2 linked regions of the Solanum lycopersicum genome follow. Each later gene encodes a partner of the first gene's protein in a complex. Links are inferred from orthologs where the notes say so. Each region holds a gene or a part of one and is shown in the gene's direction. Other genes may lie near its edges.

Region 1 (3,438 bases):
CTCACACTAGGTAATGGATTCATCATTAAAATCTGACTCCTCGCATGACTGTACACCTAATTCAAACCCATCAAAGAAACAAATTATCGCAGAAATTGCAGATGATCAACATACACTTTGGACTTATCACAGTTACAAGCAGTAGGCGGAACAAGTGCGTCAAACTCATTGCATAGAAGTAGCAATTTAGTAAAGTACCCAGAAACTGTCAAATTACCTTGACTAATTGTACTAATTTCACGATGAAGCTGATAGCTTCTAGATCCATCAACCTTGTTGAAGGGCTCATTCAAATCTTCCCAAACCATTGTTGCATCTGATGCATATACGATTCCACACAATAACTCTTTAGGCACCGTGTTCATGATCCATACTAACGCGAATGCGTTGCATTTCTCCCATTGCTCCTCCAATTCAGGTTTGTGATCAGATTTGCGACAAGTTCCAAGTACGAATCCCAGCTTGCTCTTAGCACGAAGGTTAATCATTAACGATCTGCTCCACAATGAGTAATTTTCAGCCCCTGTGAGTTGTACTGATGTCAATACACTCCCAGGAGTTTCAGAGGGATGAAGATATAGTGGATGATTTCGATTTTTCTCAATTCCATCAAGAGTATCAGCTGAAACTCCTGAAACTGTAGCTGCTGCACTATCCTCTGATGTCAATATCATCTTCTTTGAACTCACTCAATGGATGCTTCGAAGTCTTCAAATTGAATTGATTGTGAATCTGAATCTTGTGGATTCACAGCTCTGATACATGAAAATTTTAGTGAGAGAATTAATTGGGAAAATTTTCTCTATATTCTGTTAAACTGTAAAATGAGAATGAATCCATACATATATACAAGTGTGTTAGCCAGCTATCATGGCTGTTAAGCCAGCTGTTAACTCTCTCTCCACTAACTAACTACTTAACTAACTAATGGAATGTAAAATGTTTAACTAACTAACTAATGTGCAAATTAAATAATTTTATGCTAACTACTATTATTCTCAATAGATACGGTTGGTGGTAATACTTGGACCTTCCTTCTTACCAGTAATATTAGCACTATTCTCGTAGTTTCTTGTTCTTGGATTTAGTTTGTGCTCAGAATATTGCATTACTTCATCATCGTTACTGTTCTTTCTGCACTTTGTTGTGTAATGCTCTCCGTTTCGCATTATTTCATTGTAGTTATTGCTCTCATATTTGTATCCCCTTTTTTCAAACTGTTTGGCATGCTTATTTAAGCTGAGGGTCTAACGGGAACAACCTCTCTAAATCTATGGGTAAGGTTTGCGTACACTCTACCCTCAAACCCCACTTGGTGGGAGGATTACACTGGGTATGTTGTTGTTGCGAGAAGGACCATCATAAGTCTTGATATTGCAATTTTGTAGCGGGTATTTGTTACAAGGGTGGGGCTAAGTCATATTTTGCTTCTACTTGGGCCCTATCTGATGATGGATTTGCTCATTTTTTATGTTCCAATATGCAGGTTTGTTGACTGGGCTTGTCATCGACTCAGGTGATGGAGTTACACATGTTGTAAGTTTTTCCATAAGCATAGCTGTTTCATGATCTATAGTTTGTCTCGGTTCAACATTGATTCAAAAGAGAAGGTTAATTCTCATAAAGTTTGAGGTAATCAAACTAGGAGTTGCTACTCCCAAAACTAGAACTTTTTTCCTGCATAGTCCATTGGGCTCCCTGTCTAATAAGATTGCTCCTTCAAGCTGGTCATAAAGGCAGTGTTTTTTCAGCTCTCTGTTCTTTTGGTGGCACATGGTAATACTTGCTATGAACCGTGGGGATATTTTTTCTTCTGTATGTTATTCAGAAATATGTTGGTGCAGGTTCCTGTTGTAGATGGATACTCATTTCCTCACCTCACGAAAAGAATGAATGTAGCTGGACGGCATATAACGTCTTATATGGTTGATCTGCTACTTCGGAGAGGGTAATTGCCAACATATGTTTGAAATAAACTAAATAGGGTCATTCATGCTAATTTGATTATTTTAAACCATTACTGGAGTTTTGATGGTCAGTCATATCTGAAGGTATGCAATGAATAGAAGTGCCGATTTTGAGACTGTCAGGGATATTAAAGAAAAGCTCTGCTACATTAGGTGAATTACTTGCGTTGTAAATTAATCCCTTTACTAATTCTTCTGGCGAGTAATGATATTTTCTTTACTGCAGTTATGATTACAAGAGAGAGTATCAGTTGGGGCTTGAAACGACAATTCTTGTTAAGAATTATACTGTGAGTAGGCTCCATCCATAATAAGCTTTTAATTGGAAAAAACAAAGGCACTACTATTCTTTAAGCTTTTCTACTACCTTGAACTGCAATTAGGTATGGTACTTTGCTCTTGGAAGCAAAGATCCTTTTTTCTCCCATAAGAAACTTGGTCATCTGTAACTCATTATTTCACTTGTTTTTCAACAGCTTCCAGATGGGAGGGTACTTAAAGTTGGCACAGAGAGGTTCCAGGCACCTGAGGCTCTTTTTACTCCAGTGAGCATGCATTCCCATTTTTATTTTCCTCTTTCACAAATCAAGAACATACCTTTTACATAAAAATGCACCAGATTTGCTTTCCTCGTAGTGGTAAAGATGAAAGGCAATTGATGTATTCCCATAAAGCAATCTAATCCTGCAAATCCCATGTAACACCAAATGTCAATGTGACACTTGTTATCTAATACCATGACCATCTTTTGTCGTACAGCTTTTTAAATTTGGTAGTTCTTTTACCTCTCAACTATTCAATAGCAAAGCAATAGAGTGTTATCTTTGAACCAATTTGTTTCAGATGAAGTGTCAATTAAGTCCTTGTGAAAAAATTGAAGCAAGAACACATTGTTTGAACTTTGAACTGCATTGTTTGAAATGCTATTATATGCTTCTCCAAACTTCTACTTTATGGGTTGATGTATGTGAAAGAAAGCTAAATTGAAATATTATTCCACGTTTCTCCAAAATTCTAATTGAAGGGTTGATGTATGTGCAAGGAATTTTAAATATTATTTCACGCTTCTGCAATATATTTATTGATGGGTTGCTGTATGTGGAAGGAAGCTAAGTGTCACTTTTTCTGTCCATTTCAGGATCTTATTGATGTTGAAGGTGATGGCATGGCTGACATGGTATTTCGCTGCATTCAGGAGATGGATATTGACAACAGGATGATGGTACTTCAACTTTGAAATTTCTTCTGTATTCTTTGCCATAGTGTTGTCATTTGCCATCCATCATATGTTTAAATTTTCACTTGCAGCTCTACCAGCATATTGTTTTGAGTGGTGGAAGTACCATGTATCCTGGCTTACCTAGTCGGTAACTTACTCAAAATACTCTTCCTTATTATAAAGCTTTGAGAACTTGGAGCTGAGTAGTGCAATTGTGCGTGGTTGATTCTAAATGCTACATTATTGTCATAC
Region 2 (4,433 bases), on another chromosome or scaffold:
TGTTGGCTTTGTGGACCACAAGTGATTGAATTTTATACATGAGATATTTTCAAAAAATGGATTTCACTATCAATAAATAAAGAATTATATTAGATTTTTTAGATAATGTTGATTTTGACCTAAAGTTTTTTTTTAATACACAACTACTTCACATTAATTTGTGAAATTTACAATGTTTAGTCAATAAATGTCACAATCAAAATAGATTTATATCATTATATTTACGAATAGAATTTTAATTTAAATATACATAAAAACTTATTCCAGACAGCTGGTATATTTAACTTATTAATTTGAATTCAATTATATAACTTTGACGTTAACATTAGCACAGATTCCCTTTCCACACTCTCCCTTTGAAATATTGAATTTTACTAGAAAAAAAAGAATGTTAAATTTGTTAATATATCAATATTTCAATTCAAAATCAACTAAAGTAATTAGAAAAAAGCTAAGCCCCAAAATTATTGCAAGTTGAACTGATTGAAATTAGAGAATTTTGTGATGGATTATTCTTAAGATTAAGAGTTAGAACAATGAAGACCACAAATTTTAAAAAAAAAGAAAAAGTAGAGAAATAATTTTTTCAAAACAATGTCATTATCAAAAGTTTTCATAGAATAGCATTATTCCTAGAATTATTCCCCTTTTAGAAATTAGGTAGTCATCATTATTATTGGTGAATTATAAAGTAGGGTATTTCAATTAGTCTATTATTAAATCTAGACTCCTTAAAAATCATATATACTTTATGGAAAAGGCGCAAATATAACGTTAAGTTTGTGATTTGAAATGGATATATTTCTTGATTAAAAAAAAATTATACATATATATTTACGTTGTTTAACAATATGATACCTGTATATTCGTGACATAAAGTATAAGGAAAGAAAAAAATGCTAGGCAAGTTTGACAAAAAGTGATGGTTAAACCTACCGTATAGTATGAGATAGAGTGTCGATTAGTCAAGAACTTTCATGTTCAAAATATGAAAGCTACGGAGATGAAATGTTTGCGATGAATGTGTGGGAATAATAATAAGACATGATTAGAAACGAGGATATTCGGAGACAAGGTGCATGAGAGTGATTTTGATGAAGGACAAGATGTAGAAAGCAAGGCTAATGTATGTAAAGAGGAGCTGCACGAATGTCCCAATATGAAGGTGTGAGAGGTTGATAATGGGCGGCCTCGAAAAGGTAGAGATAGGTCGAAGAAGTATTTGGAGAGAGGTAATTAGATAGAACATGACACATTTTCGACTTAATAAGGATACGACTTTAGATATAAGGTTTTGAAAGGCACGTATTAGGCTAAAGAAGTTAGTAGGCAGTAGTGTGTGTCGTCTTGCTATACGTCCACACTAGTAGTCCTAGCATTACTCATATAGTTTCTCGTCCTTCAATTTCTTTTATCGCTCGTTATTTCTTATACCTCAATTATCGTACTATTTTACTAAACTTCAAATTGGTTAAGAAGAGGCCCATAAACATTGAGCCCAATAATAGTTGATCGTTAAGCCCATCTTCAACTACCATCACCGTTTATACCCGATTCTCTCTTCACTTCTTCTTTGATCTTCGCCGGAAAATATCACCCATCCCTGTCGATCTCAACATCTCTCGCCGGTGAAATTAACTATCTCTTCTCGGAAATCCAGTACGTAAAATTACGATCTGTTGCATATCTTTTCGTATCTACTCTTATTATCATATGTTTAACATATTGCGTTTTTGTTGTTGAAACTGTTGCCGTGATTGTTACTACTGTGATTATAATTGCTTTTTCCAAAATGCTTTAAACTGTTTAATTGATATCGTAATTCAGTTAATATAATTCGCTTGGGAATTAGGGGAAATAGCTAGGTCGGAGATCTTGCTTATAGAATTCGGATTGAAAAAAAACTTAAAATTGGAAATGAGATGCTATATTTGTGTTTTTATGGCGATATAGGGAACTTTTTGATGTGTAACTAAAGAGGGAAAAACTGGCATTATAGTTGATGTTATGGGAAATGTAAGATAACTTACATGATTTGCTAAACCATGTTTAATCAAGGGTGAGCTAGGAATTTGAGTGTATGGATTCTAGAAAACGGTGTTTACTAAGTTATTGATAACTTATTTATGCATATTAGGTGGATTCTTAAACGCAAATACAAGATTTGAGCCGAACCTACTGGTTTTGGTCGAAGCTGTAGCTCTGCCTGTGTTTAATGGATAATTCTATAGTAGCGCAAATTAAAAAGATACGAATAGAATGGTTGGGAATGAAAGTGCATAGATGATCTGGAAATAAAAAAGGAACAAGGGGAGAGAGGACGGAAGATGTTGGACTATATGGAAGATTACCTGAATATTACTTAGATGCATAGCTAGTTATCTGATGTAGATGAAGTAATCGTAAATTTTGATGCACGTCCTCTTATATTGGAGTCATGTTAGTTGTGTTCTAATTAATCTTAGTTATCTGATACTTGATGAGTGCATCTGCAGATTGGTGTTATAGCCTCTTTGGTTCGAAATTATACATTGCCTTCTGGTGCTAAGAAGCAAAATTTTCAGCAAGGAAAATGGTAAAGAAAGCATTTTTTTGCTTACATATTTCATTACTTTGGTGACAATTATCTCTCTGAGTTGATAGTGTGATAACTTCCACGCATGATGAAAACCATGCTGTTTCTTTTCCTTTGGTGATCGACTTGGCCCTTTTCCTGGTTTGGTGCACTAAATGAGCTACATGGCTTACATTTCATGTGTTCATTCCACTATTTTGAGTTACACTTTGGTTTCTTCAAAGAGGAATAAATAAATGACAAATGTTGTATTCTGTTTTTAAAACATCTTGGCAATGAGGATCTGTTATTGGCAATATGGGATGGATTGTGGTCTTTCTTTGATCTGTACTCACTTCAAGAAGTCTATATATAGTCTAATGGTGATAAACAAGACAGTAACTGATTTAGAGTAGGGGACTTAGATATGATTTGGATACATGCATGCAGTACGGTATCTTACACACTGATTAATGGAAATAACATGATAGAAATTCCAACCAAAACTGAAGAACAGAAAAGAAAGAACCAAAAATATAAAGATTTAGAAGTAAAAAGAATTACCACCAAGGTTCAAGCTTGAAAGAATTTTGAAATTCAGTCCGGACAAAGACTGTTTGAGCCTCAGAAAGATATCAATCTCAAAATTATATCAAAACCTCTCTAAAAACGAGTTTAACCTTATGTGCAGATTATATTACCTATGTTTGAGAAAAGAATAAATTACACTAACTGAAAAGCCTCCCAATTTGTAAGACCAGTGTGTCACACATGACCGATTCCTCAAGTTCAGCCCGCTGCACTGAGTCGTAATTTCCAGCCCGCTTAACTTTTGGTGTTTGTGTTTCGGTGCAAGGCGTCCAGCCTTAGCTCCTTCTGTCCACACCCAATGCCTTAGCCGTGTGCTGGACTTTACTTTCCAGCAAGTTTTTTTTTCAGCCACTTCCAAGCACTCCTTGAACTCTCAAACATGATATGCTTTGCTCGAATCTTCGCCATGCTCTCCAAGCATCTTCTGATTATCTCTTAGAGATCTGTAACTTCTTGATGTGTAATCCTTGGATGCTCTTGGTCTTGGAGCGCCTGATGGTCCTTATGATCGTTCAGGATCTCTTCCCTAATGTGCATCTGCTATCCGGGGTTGTTTGAGGACTCTATTTTTCTTGGCGATGAATTTTCTGTATTCAACTCTAATGAATTTGTCCTTTCTATTTTATTCACTCTATTATTTTTGTTTTATAGGGTGTTTAAACCCATAACAACTTGTCCCATTGAGTGCTGAAACCTGATTTTGATTCAATTGCAGGTTTATCATTCCAGTTTCGTTGATGAGGAAGGAATTAGTAAAGCTTGTGGATGTCCTTTGTTACCTCTGAAAAGCCATATAAGGGGACCTGCTCCAGTTTCAGAACAAGGTTAGTCTTACGAGTCTTTTCCTTATTAAGAGAATGTCTCCACATTATTATGGTGATGCTGATCTTATTTTTGAGCAGATACAACCGATATTGTTGATGAAGCAATCACATTCTTCCGAGCAAATGTCTTCTTCAAAAACTTTGATATTAAAAGCTCATCTGACAAGCTACTTATCTATTTGACATTGTATATCAATATAGCCTTAAAGAGGCTTGAAGGCTGCCGAACTTTAGCTGAAGGAACCAAGGCTATCATCAACCTAGGTCTGGAAAATGTTCCTGTACCTGGAGAGGCAGGTTTCCCATTCCCAAGCTTATTTTCTCCAGCCCAATCTAAAAAAGAAGCAGGTAAGTTGTTATTTGAACGAAGCAACCTTCTTTTTATATGTGAATAAACCACCAATAAATGATTTTGGTTAATTTTGAGTTTGCTGTTTGCTTTAATTTTTTTCCTTTGAGATTCT

The links.
Region 2: actin-related protein 2 (region 1) and actin-related protein 2/3 complex subunit 3 share a complex: the UniProt entries of both Arabidopsis thaliana proteins name them as parts of the arp2/3 complex. The link is inferred for Solanum lycopersicum from reciprocal best matches to the Arabidopsis thaliana genes ARP2 and ARPC3.

What each region holds. Positions count from the first base shown.
Region 1 is NC_090801.1:71,233,145-71,236,582, forward strand, and holds part of actin-related protein 2, read left to right. Parts: intron 1-1,486; coding exon 1,487-1,536; intron 1,537-1,844; coding exon 1,845-1,948; intron 1,949-2,051; coding exon 2,052-2,120; intron 2,121-2,193; coding exon 2,194-2,257; intron 2,258-2,443; coding exon 2,444-2,512; intron 2,513-3,105; coding exon 3,106-3,189; intron 3,190-3,275; coding exon 3,276-3,334; intron 3,335-3,438. UniProt on the Arabidopsis thaliana protein: Functions as ATP-binding component of the Arp2/3 complex which is involved in regulation of actin polymerization and together with an activating nucleation-promoting factor (NPF) mediates the formation of branched actin networks.
Region 2 is NC_090806.1:3,894,406-3,898,838, forward strand, and holds the start of actin-related protein 2/3 complex subunit 3, read left to right. Parts: upstream 1-1,483; 5' UTR 1,484-1,659; intron 1,660-2,495; 5' UTR 2,496-2,572; coding exon 2,573-2,575; intron 2,576-3,860; coding exon 3,861-3,969; intron 3,970-4,047; coding exon 4,048-4,317; intron 4,318-4,433. UniProt on the Arabidopsis thaliana protein: Functions as a component of the Arp2/3 complex which is involved in regulation of actin polymerization and together with an activating nucleation-promoting factor (NPF) mediates the formation of branched actin networks.